3 linked regions of the Rattus norvegicus genome follow. The protein of the gene in region 1 interacts with the protein of each later gene in a pairwise test. Links are inferred from orthologs where the notes say so. Each region holds a gene or a part of one and is shown in the gene's direction. Other genes may lie near its edges.

Evidence for each region.
Region 2: the proteins of Ppp1r18 (region 1) and Fsd2 interact in binary tests that used the Homo sapiens proteins (3 or more experiments, as listed by UniProt). The two-hybrid records come from large-scale screens. The link is inferred for Rattus norvegicus from reciprocal best matches to the Homo sapiens genes PPP1R18 and FSD2.
Region 3: the proteins of Ppp1r18 (region 1) and Stx11 interact in binary tests that used the Homo sapiens proteins (3 or more experiments, as listed by UniProt). The two-hybrid records come from large-scale screens. The link is inferred for Rattus norvegicus from reciprocal best matches to the Homo sapiens genes PPP1R18 and STX11.

The regions. Positions count from the first base shown.
Region 1 is NC_086038.1:2,888,890-2,894,304, reverse strand, and holds the start of Ppp1r18 (phostensin), read left to right. Parts: upstream 1-1,975; 5' UTR 1,976-2,020; intron 2,021-3,019; 5' UTR 3,020-3,024; coding exon 3,025-4,590; intron 4,591-5,415. Other genes in the region: Nrm (nurim), read left to right, coding at 1-5, 305-586.
Region 2 is NC_086019.1:144,912,104-144,916,925, reverse strand, and holds part of Fsd2 (fibronectin type III and SPRY domain-containing protein 2), read left to right. Parts: intron 1-1,610; coding exon 1,611-1,766; intron 1,767-3,904; coding exon 3,905-4,039; intron 4,040-4,737; coding exon 4,738-4,822.
Region 3 is NC_086019.1:9,136,537-9,141,954, reverse strand, and holds the start of Stx11 (syntaxin-11), read left to right. Parts: upstream 1-1,735; 5' UTR 1,736-1,804; exon of another isoform or gene 1,805-1,927; intron 1,928-5,418. UniProt on the Homo sapiens protein: SNARE that acts to regulate protein transport between late endosomes and the trans-Golgi network.

The DNA.
Region 1 (5,415 bases):
AACAGGTGAGGCTCCCACACCCCCACCTGAGACCTGTGCCTGCAAGTCTCTCCCTCCTGTACTCTTCTGACTTCTCTTGTCCCTTGCCTTCTTGTATGATCGTTTTCCTTCAGCCTGCCTTCAAAGGCCAGTGACTGTGGTCACCTGGGCTTGAGGATGCTGCCCGGACCAGAGAGACCTGTGTTGGGGTGGAGTCTCAGAAGGGATCCTGGGCCTGATTTTCTAAGATGGTGGTGCCAGCCAGGAAGAGGACAGAGGCAACTGAGAAAGGAGGCTTGACTCATTTCCATGATGTGTCTTCTAGGTTTATTACCATGTGCTGGGACTGGGCGAGCCTCTGTCTCTGAAGTCTCCTCGGGCTCTAAGACTCTTTTCTCACCTTCGACACCCAGTGTGTGTGGAACTGTTGACTGTGCTGTGGGTGGTTCCCACTTTGGGCACGGACCGCCTCCTGCTGGCTCTTCTCTTTACTCTCTACCTGGGCTTGGCTCACGGGCTTGACCAGCAAGATCTCCGCTACCTTCGGTCTCAGCTACAAAGAAAACTCCAGCTTCTCTCCAGACCCCAGGATGGGGAAGCAGAGTGAGGAGCTGGTTCTAAGCCCTGTACTTCCTCTCCACCTCAAAAATCAAATCCCTTAGCATCCAGGCTGCATCTGCTTCAGACCAGAGGTTGGAAGTCATGCTTTGAAGGGGCTGTCCCTTCTCTTGCTTGAGAACTCAGTTCTAGGGTCCTGATCCTGGACTCTAAATTCAGTTTCCACCACTGGCCTTCAGAGTCTGCTTCTCACCAACCAACCAAGAAATAAACTCAAGAGCCTCCTTTTCTCTTCAGAGCATGACCTCCACACACACACAGGGTCAGCCTTAGCACTCCATCCCCTTGTTATTGGCTCTGCACCTCAGGGATTCCCTTCCGTGTTTCCACCTCGAGGAGCTATGTCAGGGCCTATCTGAAAGTTTGTAGGTAATGGCTCTTTTGTACTGCGGCTGTGGTTCCTCCCCACCACTGCCTTAGTTTTTCCACCTCATCAGCTCTGCGGTGCTGTCTTCTACAGCGATATCTCCCGTTTTTTTGTTTTGTTTTGTTTTGTTTTTTTTTTTAACTCGGGTTGACTCGGGGCTCCCTCCTCTCCCAAAGGACATGCGCTGCAGAAAAATTAAAATTTTATACATATGACACCCAGTTGTCTGTCCATGACTCTCAAGCCGCAGGACCAATTGGGGGGAGGGGGGGAGGAAGATTAGGCCAAGTTTTTGTGGCGATAGCCAAAGCACTCTAGGACGGATCCCTGGGCTGGGGCCACACCCCATGGACCCGCCCCATCTCTCAGTCCTCCAGTCCTGTTCCCTCCAAATATGAAAGTCTCTCCGCGTATAGATCAGGGAACCCGTGGGAGACAGAATAACTCTCTGGGAGGGGAGCGAACTCCCAAAGCTATTCGCCTCAGACCCCAGGGCCTGGCAGCCGCCTTCTCTGCCACGGTAACAAAGACTAGCCAGGGAAAGAAAAGGCGTGGGGAGGAGCAGCTAGAGATGGGAAGGGCGGGTCCGACTCCAAGCAGCTGCCGCTTCCTCTCCATGTCCCTTAGGGGGCCTGAGTCACGGGCCGCCGCCCCGGGTCGGCCTATTGGAGCACTGGGGTCTGGACACCCCGCTTCTCTAGGGCTGCAAGGAAGGAAGCGGGTGAAGGTCTCAGGAGACAGACAACCGAGAAAAAGGGGATTGCTACGGCGGGAGAGAAGTCCCACCAGAGTCCCACGCGGGAAGGAGGGCAGCGAAGCCCCGCCCTTCGCCGGGCTCCTCCCTGCGCCCCCTTCCTTCGCCCCATTGTCCGTAGACAAAGCGGTCGCCGCCCCCGGCTGGCCCCCTGTCTGCGTCTCCGTCCCTCCTCCTGGGTTCCCCCTTCCCTCCTCCTCTGTTTCCCTCCCTCCCTCCGGATCTCCCTTCGCCTCTCTCCTCCTCTTCCTCTCTCCCGACGCCCGACTCCACTGCACCTCCTCCTAGGGACCCCAAGGCGTGTAAGTTGACTGTAGGGCTCCCACTTTAAGGGAAGTGCCTCGTGGCTCTAAATCTCCCTTGGAGTGCCTCCCCTTTGTGCACAGATTGTCCGTTCAGTCCTCTCGGGTGCACGTCCCACTGGGTCAAGGTCCCCTGAGAGCCGGGTCCCTGGTTGGGGGACATCAGAGGCGCGATGCGGGTCCTCGTCGCGCCCGTGTTCTGGGGGCGCATCTGGTGGAGAGGCCGGCGAGATTGTAGGGACTGGACGCGGGTGGACGCCAGGGTTCTGGGAATGCATAGGCTGCCACACTTGCTCGGGTACCAAAAGTCCCCGAGGAGGGTATTTCCCCTGACCCGCCTCGGGGGCGGGATAGGCAAGTGGGGTAGGGGCCGGGCTGAGGGGCGGGGCCGAGCGCCGCTGGGAAGGCAGCCGGGACCTGCCGAGGCCCCGCGCGCAGAGGCGCCGGCGCCCTTGCCCGTTTCCCCGTCTCCCCTTCTCCCCTGGACCTCTGTCCTCCTCATCTAGCCTCACCTCCTCACATCTCGTCCGACCTCTTCGCCCCTCGCCTGCTGCTTCTCTCTTCCCATTTATCTCCCCTGGGTACCGGGGAAGCAGTCTCGACTGAACCCTCTCACTTCTCGGCCCCGGCTCCTCCGGCTCCTCGCTCTCCTGCTTTTCCTTACCTCCCCTTTTCATATCTCAGGGACCGTCTGGTGCCCACAAACCCCAATCTGGCTCTGCCTCTGCCCGGAATCTCGACTCTTCCTCTCCCATTATCCCCACCCCCAACTTGGCACCCGGCTTTTCTCCTCACTTTTTCAGTTCCTGACTCTTTTGCCCTCCTTCCTCTCACGGCCTTCCTCTATTTTCATTCTTAACTCTACAGTCCCTCTCTGCCCTTCTTAGTTCCTTCCCTCATCACTTCCTCCCTCCCCCCACCCCCATTCTCAGTCTCTGGGCTTCTCTGAAGCTCACCCTTCCTGTTCCCGTCCCCCAATACTCTCTCCTTCACTTCCAGCGACCATGACCGCTATCCCAGATTGGAAGCTACAGTTGCTAGCCCGGCGGAGGCAGGAGGAGGCAGCGGTTCGTGGCCGTGAGAAAGCAGAACGGGATCGCTTATCCCAGATGCCAGCCTGGAAGCGGGGAATTCTGGAACGACGCAGAGCCAAGTTGGGCCTACCTCCTGGAGAGGGGAGCCCTGTGCCTGGGAATGCAGAGGCTGGACCTCCAGACCCGGATGAATCTTCTGTCCTTTTGGAGGCTATTGGGCCAGTACATCAGAACCGATTCATCCAACAGGAGCGACAGCGGCAGCAGCAGCAGCAGCAGCAGCGAAACGAGGTGCTTGGTGATAGGAAGGCTGGGCCTCTGGAGGCTCTAGAACGGAGATCAAGTCCTGGTAATTTAAGAGATCAGAGCCCTAAGGGAAGAGAGTCAAGAGAAGAGAGGCTAAGTCCCAGGGAGGCCAGAGATAGGAAGCTGGTGATAGGAGGAACCCAAGAGTCAAGTTCGAGGTCTTTGGAGACTGGAGACTGGAGGCAGAGCCCAGCAGAGGCCAGAGACCTGGATTCCAGACCAGCTGAGGCTCAGAAATGGAGGCTGAGCCCTGGAGAAACTCCAGAGGAGAATCTGAGATTAGCAGGTTCTGGAGATCACAGTCCCAAGAGAAAAGAGGTATTGGAAAGCAGACTGAGCCCTGGGGAGTCTGGCGACCAGAAGACCAGTCTGACAGAGGCCCATAAATGGAATCTTGACTCAAGAGAAGCCCAGAAACAGAGCTTGGTACAGCTGGAGGCCACGGAGTGGAGGCTGAAGTCAAGTGAAGAGAGAAAAGACTACTTGGAGGAGTGTGGGAGTGAGGAAGAGAAATTGGGTTCAGGGATTGCCCCAGACCAGCCTTCAGTGACAAAGGAGGTTCAAGACACCACCTCTAGAGAAGTGGAGACTGCCGAGCAGAGGCCCACTGAAGGCTGGAAATGGACCCTAAACTCTGGGAAAGCTCGAGAACGGACACCTTGGGACATAGAGACGCAAATTCATAAGGCAGATCCTCCAGCATCTTCAGAGAAGCACCCGGGACCTTCTGCTGTGGAGGCTGGAGGGGAGGCTGAGAAGGAGGAGGCGGGGGCTCAGAGCAGGCCTCTGAGAGCCCAGCAGAACCGCTGCTCTGGGCCCTCCCCCCTCCCACCAGAGCACTCTGGGACGGAAGGCTCCAGACAGCAGGAAGAGGAAGCGGCAGAACCCCGGCCCCCAGCACCAGCCCCTCTGTCTCCCCCACCCTCGGCCCCAACTGCCCCCCAACCCTCTGGGGATCCCCTCATGAGCCGTCTGTTCTATGGGGTGAAACCAGGACCGGGGGTGGGGGCCCCCCGACGCAGTGGACACACCTTCACTGTCAACCCACGGAGGTGTGTGCCCCCTGCCAGCCCAGCCCCTCCAGTCAACCCTGCCACAGCTGATGCTGCAGGGTCTGGATCTGGCAAGAAGCGGTACCCAACTGCAGAGGAGATCTTGGTGCTGGGGGGCTACCTCCGTCTCAGCCGCAGCTGCCTTGTCAAGGGATCCCCTGAAAGACATCACAAACAGGTAAGAGAGCTACCACGCCTGACTGGGTAGAAGTCTCTTTCTAGTTCTGACTGGATGACTTTTTTATATGCCTGTGCCTCTTCTATTCTTTTTATTCTTGCCAACTCCCTTCCTCCCCCTGCACACACCCTTCCTCCGGGTGGCCTTCCTTTGCCATTCGTTTTGGAGCCCCAAGGATTCCGTTCACTCAACTGCTATGTTGGGGTGTGTCGCTTTCAGGGTGTGTCCACCCTAGTTCTTTCTTTGCCCACTCTCTCAGTCCCCTCTCCTCTTCTTCCTTTGGGTTTTGACCCAGTTAAACCCTTATGGTAAGAGAGAAGAGATAACCCACCCGTGAAGCTGTGGTGAGAATAACTCGGGGGGATGGGGGACAGAGAATGTAGAAGGAGAAGTTCAGGGAAGTTGGGATGAAGGTCTCTGGCCCCAAGAAAGAAGGGCCAGAACTAAACGAGGACATCCCAGAACAGAGGCGGGGGTGGGGTGGGGCTATGGAACAGAGCTGGCTGAGGAGCTGAGAGGAGTTTAGACCCCAAGTCAGCCCCCACTCCCCACAAGAAGAGGCCATTTGAAGTGGGTGACCTCAGGGTCACCTACCCCTCCCCCCCAACTGGGCAAATGTTAGACACTGCTTCCTTCTCTCAGGGGACAAGAACAGCCTTCTCTTCCAAAATATCTCAGTCCCTTCCCCCATCTTTCCTCTCTAGGCTTCCCCTCCCCCCCAACAGAACTGGCTCAGCCTGGGCTTTTTCCCCTCGGTTCCTGCTTCCCTGGCCTCTCCCTCCCCTGGGGTAGAAAAAAAGAGAGAAGTTCATTTGCACTGAACTG
Region 2 (4,822 bases), on another chromosome or scaffold:
TTCAGAGAAAGATAAACACTGCACGAGTCTCCTTCGGTGAGGGGCCTGAAGCAGTCAAATACACAGAATTGGAAAACAGAATGGCAGCAGGCCAGGACTGGGGAGGGGAAATGAGGACTGCCCAATGAGTAGGACCTAGTTCTGCAAGGTGAATAAGTCTCAGAGATGCGCTGGACAAGCACAGCACCTGGAGTTAACAACATGGTATCCATGGTATCCGTCACTGCCATGGTAACCTTTTCTCCCTCCCGGCCCTCTCTCTGTGTTGGGGCTGACATGCATTCACATGTATTCACATGCACATGGGAGGCCAGAGTGGCATCTTCCTCAATTGCTCTGCACTCATGGTTTGAAAAAGGGTCTCTCACTGAGCCCGGTGCTCCTGGGTTGTCAAGACTGTCCAGACAGTAAGCTTTGAATAGGGTTCCTCCTATTTCAAAGGTATACACTACTGTCTGGCTTTGTATGTGGGCCCTGGGGATCTGAACTCAGGTCCTCGGGCTGATTTGGCAAGCGCTTTACTAACTGAGCAGTGTCTCAGCTCAGGTGTCTTTCTCTTCCAAGGATCAGTAGCATTCCATTGAGTTGCATTTCATCCATAAAAAAGTTCTCTGATCTTGGCCAGTGTGAATAAGGCTACTGGAAATAACTGCAAAATATCTACAATTCCGATTTAATTCTTTTAGATATATACCTAAATGTAGTTACTGAGCCATTTGCCAGTGTCTTCTCTCCCTCACTCCTTTTACAGTGCTGGGGACTGAGCCCAGTAGCTCACATTCGCTCATACGTACTGTATCTCTGGGCTACATTCCCAGCCCCTCTGTTATTTAAGCTGAGGTCTCTCACTGTACTGCCCAGATGCTCTTACCAAACCCTGGCCTCCTGGGTGTGACACCACCAGGCCCCAGCAGTTCCTTATGAGTTTTTTTGGTGATTCACCTTGCTGTTTTCTACAATGGTTGCACAGTACACATGGCCTCCCGTTCTCCAGATCCTTCCCAACACCTGTCATCCTTTGCTTTCTGAGCACAGCTGTTCTGGTAGGTGGGAGAAGATAGCTCACTATGGCCTTTCGAGTTTTGTTCACGTGTTGTTTTTAGTTTTGTTGAGATAGGGTCTAACTCTGTACCCAGCCTACTTCAGAACTCACACTGTGGCCCCCGCTCACCTCACGCTTGTGATCCTTCTGCCTCAGCCTCCCAGGTCCTGGGATGACAGGCACGCACCAGCACACGCGCTCGGGTTATGGTTTTGGCCTGCATTTCCCTCATGATGAGTGATGTGAACACCTGCTCATCCTCTTGGTGGCAGATTCGTGTGTCTTCTTTAGACTGAGCCCTGTTCCAGTCCTTGCTTGCTGTAAAGTGACATTATTTAGGGGCTTGTCGGCTTTGTTCGCCACTGAGTTTTGGAGGTCTTCAGTGTTTTGAATATCAGTTATAAACACTTCCTATCCATCCTCTATGGGCACCAGGCGTGCGCACAGTAACACAGACGGAACACCCATACACACAGAATAATTCAATGAAACAAGAAGTGGCCACTCCCATCCCACTCCTGCACATACAGCTCCTCAGGGCTGTTCCCTCTCTCTTTTCCCTTTTCAGCTCCCTCTGCTCCAGTGATAAATCCCCAGGCACCCAACTCAGCAACTGGCTCCTCGGTGCGTGTGTGCTGGAGTTTATACTCTGATGACACCGTGGAGAGCTATCAGCTGTCCTACAGGCCGGTGCAGGACAGCTCACCTGGCAAGGACCAAGCAGGTAAGGTCTAGGGCCCGACAGAGCTGCTGCTGACCGTAACGCTGCCGGAAATGGCCCCTGGCTTTCTGGTAGCACACTCCACCCCACCCCGGGGAAACGGCTTGTATTAGCCAGAGCTGGGGCCAGCCATCCTTTACCATCAGCCCTTCTCCTGTGAGCAGTGTGTTTACTAGCCACTTGTTGGCTATTTTTTCTTTTCTTTTCTTTTCTTTTTTCTTTCTTTCTTTTTTTTTTTGAGCTGGGGACCAAACCCAGGGCCTTGTGCTTGCTAGGCAAGCGCTCTACCACTGAGCTAAATCCCCAAATCCCCCAAATCCCCAACCCCTATTTTTTCTTGTTACAGTGAACAAATGTCAGCTGAGAAGCAACTTTAGGAAGGGAGGGTCTATTTTGGCTCATGGTTTGACGGTACAGTCCACCACTGCAGGGAGGGCATGGTAGCCAGGGCAGGAGGCAGCTGGTCGCACTGTATCCACAGTCAGGAAGCAGAGACGAAGCCTGGTGTCTACTCACTTTCTCTTTTATATTCAGTCTGGGACCTCAGCCCATCGGATGGTGGCACCCACGTTCAAGATGGGTCATCCCTCCTCTTTGGAAGGGAGCCTCTTTGGAAATGCCTTCTTAGACATGCCCAGAGGCCTATCTCTTCAGTGATTCTAAATCTTATCAAGTTGAAATATTAGGATTAATCGTCATAGCCAGCTTTGTGTTACGATAACAAAAATCAGAGAGAAATAAAACTTTTTCTTGTTGTTTTTGATTTTTGGAGGATGGGGTTTCTTTGTGTAGCCCTGACTATCCTGGAACTCGCCGTGTAGACCAGATTGGCCTCAAACTCATAGAGATCCACTTGTATCTGCCTCCCTGGTGCTGGAATTAAAGGTGTGTACCACTACCACAATTCAACTATTAAGGAGGAAACTTGATTTTAGCCTACGGTTTCTGTCTTTAGACACAGGGTTTCTTTTTTTGTTTTCTTTTTTTTTTTCGGAACTGGGGACCGAACCCAGGGCCTTGTGCTTGCTAGGCAAGCGCTCTACCGCCGAGCTAAATCCCCAACCCGGTTTCTGTCTTTAATGGCACAGTATTATTGGCACAGTTTGGCATTCAAGAGAAACATGGAGGGGCTGGGGTACAGTACCAATATCCCTTCCAAGGTCACGTTCTCAATGATTTAACTTCCTCCCACAAGGCCCCACCTCCTAAAGGTTTCACCTTCTAGGGTCACGGACAAGGGCCAGCCTCCAACACATAGGTAGCTATTGGGGGCACATGCTTAAACCATAACAAGAAGGCGAGATCAGACTGCAGACACAACTCCCCAAGCCCCACAAACCTGAAGTAATCAGGGCTTTCCAGAGTGAGTCAGGTCAGAGTGGAATTTCTGGGCTTGGCAATCTGCATTTGACTGATGAGGATGGCGGAGGCTCATCGAGGAGCAAGCCATCTAACTATGTCACAGTGAGTGTGGTAGAGCCAGGCTATCAGGTCACTACTCACTGTGGAAGCTCTGCAGTTGGCAGGTAAAAGCTCTGAGTGAAGGGAGGTTACAGCATTTCTGCCCCGGGGACCAGGAAGGAGGAGGTCTTAACAGTTTTTTATTTTTATTTTTATCTTTAACAGTTTTTATTATTTGAAACTTCCATACGTTTATACAATGGATATTGATCATATCTGCCCCCTCTTCCTTCAGAAGCCATCAACTACCTCCACTAGGGGTGGGACCTCCAGGGCCCATCCCCCATCCACACTAGAAATTTGATTGACTAGATCTGTGCGGGTGATCACAGCCGCTGTCAGTTGATGTGTGCAATAGTCATACTATGCTAGAAGTGTTTGGGGGAGGGGTTTGGGGAGGGAGGTGGAGAGCAAGTCCCTCACTATGTCCCAAGCCTCTTTTTGTGTCATATTTGTCACAGGACCACTGCTAAGCTAGTCACCACGGTAAACCCCACTTCAAGGTCTAGGCAACCAGGCCTCTCAGAACACACAGTGCGGCTGCAGGGTTGTGCCTGCAGCGGAGGGAGGAATCTGCAGCCTAGGCTCCTCTTTTACAACAGGGCACAGAAAAGTCCAGTGGCTGTTTAAGGCTTGAATTCTTACATTGTTTTTTTTTTTTCTTTTTCTTTTTCTTCCAGAGTTCACCATGACGGTCAAAGAAACATATTGCTCAGTGAAAAATCTTGAGCCAAATACCCAGTATGAGTTTTGGGTCATAGCTCAAAACAGGACCGGCCCCAGCCCCTCTAGTGAGCACGTAGTGTATATGACAGGTACTGACTGGGTTGTTCATTTTCATTCATGCAGGTTTCTAGATGTGACTGGGTTTTCTGTGTCCTCTGAAGGATAGAAAGAACCGTGTGTGGTTTCCCCCTTGTCGTACTCCTCTTAACACACTAGATCGACCTGCCTGACATGGCAGGGACATTATTTTCATGGTTGGTCTGTTTCCTGCAGTTATACTGACACTTGAGACTTGTGTATTAAGTTACTTTTCTATTGCTGTATTAAAACACCATGTCCAAGGCAACTTAAAGAGGGAAGGGTTTATTTGGGATTACGGCTCTGGGGAGATGAGAGTCCTGGCACAGACATGGCAGCAGGTATATTGGTAGGAGCAGGAAACCCAAGGCTCACATCTTAAACTGCAAGTGGGGAGCAGAGGGAGTGAACTTGAAATGGGGTGACTCTTTACATTCTCAAGCCCACCTAGAGTGACATACCTCCCCCAGCAAGGCTACACTTCCTAAAACTCTCCAAACAGATCTACCGACTGGGAACCGAGCATTTGGATGCAATGATGGATATTTATTATTCAAACCATCACAGGTCTAGCGAGCATCCCCAACCCCAGGAACGTCTGAAAGGGGTTCCCAGGCACTGTATTGCTGTGGTGTTTGTCCACAGCTCGGAACAAAATGGCTGGAACTGAACCTAACGGTTGCTGGTGTCTCCTTTCTCCTGTGTTCAGCCCCCTCTCCTCCCTCTATAAAAACCGAGGCAATCAGGAGCTGTGAAGAGGCCGTGCTGATTTGCTGGGAGTCTGGAAACCTGAA
Region 3 (5,418 bases), on another chromosome or scaffold:
ACCATTTTGGAACACTTTAAGATTTATACACACACACACACACACACACACACACACACACACATGCACACACACAGACACATACATGCATGCACACACACATATACACACACATATGCACACATACACACACATACACGCACACATACACGCACACACACATACACACACATACACACACACATACACACACACACACACACACACACACACACACACACACACACACGTCCCAGAACTGATGCCTCTCCTTATTTTCTATTCTAGGTTCCCCTTCTATCAAGATCCGACATTAACAGGATGGAGTCATTCTGGCTGAGAAACCAGCCTCCTCCCTCCATCTTTAGTTAAGTGTTTTGTTTCCATTTTCAGAGATTCCTTTCCTTTTATTTTATGTGTGGGAATGTTTTGCCTCCATCTACCGTGTACATATCATGTGTGCGACCGGCACCCACAGAGGTTAGGAGAGGCACCATGTTGGTGCTGTGAATCGCACTCAGGTCCTCCGCAAGAACATCAAGTTCTGAGCCGTCTCCCACCGATTTGTTTTTGTTTAATTCCGAAACCCACCTCCCAGCCTTCTCAGCATCTTCCGTGGCCGGTTAAGATTCTTTTCTCGTAGGATCTTTCAACAGCTGTGAGTAGGATTGGTCAGGCATTTTCGTGGGGTGGGGGTGGGAGTGGGGGTGTGCAAGTGGATTTGTGGTTGTTGAACCAGGGGCAAGCTCCGCTCACTGTCACAACATCATTTATCTGTGTGGTAAAAACTACTTTCCTCCTCCTTTCTGTACAGCCCTATGTAGAGGAGCAGGCTCTCTATATTGAGTGCAGAGAGACAAGTTTCTTTTCCAAGAAAGTGGGTTTCTGCTTCGGTTGCTTGAAGTTGCTCTGCTCCGGAGACTTGTGGACCTATTTCATCGGCCATCTGTTCACGTTAGATGAATAACTTTGTGTTACCATCCAGTGCCACCTCGTTCCTCAAATTCTTCCGGCTTTAGGCACCCGGAGCTCTTTGGGTGACTTCCTAGCATCAATGCACACATCATTTTTCTGTTTTAGATGGTTAGCCTTCGCCGTGTTTGTCCAGAGGCTTCCCATCCGCTCACCCGAAAGCCCCTTTTCTCTTTCCGAGTCTCTAGTAGGGTGTCAGGCTACGAGGACGAGGTCGTGGCAGTACCCGTGGATGCCCCACTGACAGCAGGCGGGAAGGGACTAGTGGAAGGCGGGGCTCAGTGTCTTCAAGATCCACAACCTCCGGTTCAACCATCGCGCGGGTCTCTGCAGGCGCAGCCACACCCACGCTCAGAAACGGTTTCTAGCGTCCTAGCCTCGGAAATGCTCTGGACTGCAAATGTCATTCATGCCGAGGGGTTTTCCCTTGGAAAGTCCGACGAATCCCGCTCCGCCCATCTCTCCATCCCAGAGCACCGAAGAAGACAGAGGAAGTTTCCCGGGTGGTCCACACGGTCGCCCGCAGCATCTCGGGGCGCACAGCAGTGGAGGGAGGCTCGTGTCTAGGTTCTCAGCCACCCGCACCGTGGCGACTCTCGTCCGTGAGGACGAGAAACTGCGCGCCCAGCCCAGGGCGTCCCCGGGGCGGGGCCTGGTCCCCCAGCTGTGCAGGCTCAGCGCGGTGGGGGCGGAGCCAGCAGCGCCAGATGCGGCCGGGGTGGCGCAGAGCTCGGACCCGGCTGAGAAGCGCAGCCCTGGCCATCAAGAAGCAGAAGAGGCAGAGCCTCCGGGACGCGAGCATTGCGTGTCCTCCCGGCGTCCGGACGCTGGATCAGCGCCCCGCCGGATCACGGTTCGTTTCGTCACGGGAGTGTGCTTTGGTTCTCAAACTCTTTGGGCATCGGGGACCCGGGTGCGGGGCTGGCTGGAGTGGCGGACCTCACTGGCCCAGGGCAGGGATGCTGCCCAGCAGCAGGTGGGTTTGGGGTGTGGTTCCCTCTGCGCCTCTAGGTACCTTCAGGACGCGGCTTTGGGTTTCACTCCTAGAGCCAAAAGCTTTTTAAGTCTTTGAGAATCTAAGGCTTTATCAGAAGTGCTTCAGAAATGACTGGTGTAGTCAGTTTTATTGTTTTATTGAATGGAGGTGCTTCTTTTCCGTTTGGTTGCCACTTTCTCAAGCACATCAGAATGGGCACTTCTCCACTTGAACTTGACAGTATGACTCAGGAGCCAGGAAATATGGGAACATTGATAAGGCGTTGAAACAGCCCGCACAGAAGATTTGGGGGAGTTTGTTTTAGGGGGGAGCGATCTGGTGGCTTTGCTTAAAGAACCACACTACGGAATTCTTTTGGCTTCTTTGGCCGAGACCAGCTGAGACCTGCGTTTTACTTCCTGTGGCTCTCTCACACTTAGTAGAGCATTTCTCAGCAGAGGGAGGAGCTGTTGTTTCTACACGGGTATCCACAAATGAGTCAGAAGGCGACTATAATTGCAAGGCTTTGTTAATACGCTTTTGAAAAGCGAGGTTGGATCCCTGTACTTAGAATAAGAACGGAGATGAGTCTGGTGCTGTCAAACTGGGGCAGGCGGCCTAGGAAGTAGCTATTCAAGTTTTCAGTTTCCTAGAGCGTCTGATGGGACAACATGCCAGCTAGGGTCACTAGGCCGATCTGAGATAACCCTTAAAATCATGTGCTTTCCCACAGAAGCTGAAGAGAAAATTAATTCCATTATCCAATAACCATTTGTTTTCACTGGTTGGTAGAAACTGGGCATTTAGTGGAGTGATTGTAAGTTACTCCGAAATTTAAAATATTTCAGAAAGTTTATTTTTTTTACCAAGTTAGTACTTTAAAAAATATAGAGAGAAGCTTTTGAAGAAAGTAGATGGTTGCTAGAGCCAGACATTAATATGCTCTTAGAAACAGACTTCCCTATCTAGAAGCTAAGCAGAGGCAAGAATAACTGTGTATCTTGGCTGAGCTGAGGTCAGCCCTAGACAGCAGTTACAAGGTTCTGGTCTGTTCTTTTCCTCAAGTTCCATGTGTACAATCCCAGGCACAGTGCTATCCTGACAGCCAGAGCCACAGCTGAGCTGATTTTCCTGGAAATCCAACATTGTGAGATGGGTGCTATTGTGTTTTATAAAAAAGAAAAAGAAGTCAGGGATATGTTTAGTAGAGGTGTGGGGGAAGGGGGTGCCTCTGTGGGTCCATGCTGAGGCATCCCTTTCCCCTGAGGGACCATCCATACATGGTATAGTATAAGAGTATAGAATAGAGTTTATTTAGGGCATGGGGAGGGGAGTGGACGGGGTAGAAGAAACAGAGAAAGGAGAGAGAGAGAGAGAGAGACAGAGACAGAGACAGAGACAGAGACAGAGACAGAGACAGAGAGACAGAGAGAAACAGAGACAGAGAGAGACACAGAGAGAGACAGAGACAGAGACAGAGAGAGAGGAAGGAGGAGGAGGAGGAAGAGAAGGAGGAAGAATAGAGAGTAGAGGCAGGCTTTGATCAGGTATAGAGGCGGGTAGAGGAGAATGGGGAGAAAAGGGACAAAGAGCAAAAGAGTGAGGAGGGGGCAAGCAGCCCCTTTTATACTGAGTCAGGTATATTTGGCTGTTGCCAGGTAACTGTGGGGCAGAGCCTAGAAGAAATGCCAGCAGGTGCTGTGAGAAATTTACACCCAAAGGAGGCGCCCCAGTGTGGAGGATCAGAATATCCTGGATCACTCTTGGGACAGCAAAGGAAAGTCTGGGTTCCCATCATCTGCTTGTCTTGGTTGGCAGCCAGGTTTTCACTCAATACATACATGATTTGAAAAGCATATTTGTATGTGCATATGTGTATGATTTAAAGAACATACTAGTGAGGCGTGGCGTTTAAAGTGTTTGAATTAACCGTGTTTTGTATTGCTCGGTAGCTGTGTGAAAGCAAACCCAGTCTGTTATCATCCCTGGGCACTTATGGGCACTTTCCTGTGTCTTTTAAACAACAGGGAGTGACTTACGAGCCATTGGTGGCTTTCTGCTCATCGGTTGTTCCTTATCTGAGGACTGGCTTCACTTCCTTGATTTTTATTACCCGAGCTCTGAAACGTGAAATAGAAAGTTCCAGCAATAATAGTATGCATCTATTTATTTTACTTGAGACGTGGTCTCACCGCGTAGCCCTGGCTGACCTAGAATCCACAGCTATCTCTCTGCCCGCTTCTGCCTCCTGAGAACTCGTATTAAAGGTGTGTGCCACCACACTTGGCAGTGAGATGATGCTCTGAGAGAGGGAATACATCCACACCAAATTAATTAGAACCATATCGTTGTAATTGCTCCACTATTAATTCTTGTTCATCTCTTACTGTGCATAATTTATGAATTTAAACTTTATCTTAAATACGCATGCACGGAGAACAGCAGAAATAGGTGTCAGGCGTTCACCACAGTCTCTTGGCTCAGATCCCTGAGGGTTAATTTCCCAGTCCTCTGAGGTGGCCAACTAGTAAAAGGCTCCATTACCACATCTTTCACCTCTGTCTCATCGCTCCCTCCGCAGCCTCAGAGCCACATCTTCTAGAGGAAAGAAAAAAGATGAAGTGTTATTCAGTATGGCGTTCCTGGGCTTGGGTACCCATCTGACTCGTGGTTAGTGGAAAGAAAGCATTTATTAAACAGTGAGCCTAACTGTAGATGAGGGTTGTCCAGGAGCTTGGATTGGAAGGTGACCCAGCAGAAGGAACAGCAGTGCCAAGGACAGAAACAGTTTCTGTGGTCAAGAAAGCCTGTTTCCTGGGGGCTGGGGTTTAAGGTAGAAGGGGGGGCAGAAAGGTGAAGGGGGAAAGATAAGAGAAGAGGACCACATAGACCCATGGAGGCTCCAGGGCTTTATTCTGTGGAGGCCTCAGAGAAAACAAACACCAGGAGAGACGTGTTTAAAACAAAGCAGAAACGAAGGGGGCAGCTCAGGTTGTAAAGTGCTTGACACACGAGCACAAGGCTGTCACCTGTAATCTAAGCACTGGGTAAGTGGAGGCAGAAGGATCCTGGGACTCGCTGACCTTCTGGTCTAGGTGGATCAATGAATCCGAGATTCTGTGAGAGAGCTTAAGCACCAGTGTCAACACACATGAAGACGTGCACACACACACACACATGAATAAGCTCAAGTGCTCACACCCTTAGAAGAGATTACTGTACTACTGAGATGGGAACGTGAACGAAGCTTGGATTGGTGGGGGAGGGGCATGGAAATGAAGGGAGGAGCTGATAGAATTGACATCGTGTAACACGCAGAACCCAAGTGGGGTCTGAGGAAGGGGAAGAAGAAAAAAAGATGACGTCTGTATTTCCGGTTCGTGACTGGCTTAGGAACATCCCACCCAGTGGAAGAGTTGGTGTAGGCTAAAGGATAGTGAAATGCTCACCCGCTACTTGGTGTATGATCGGCTCTTGGTAGGAGATGTTCG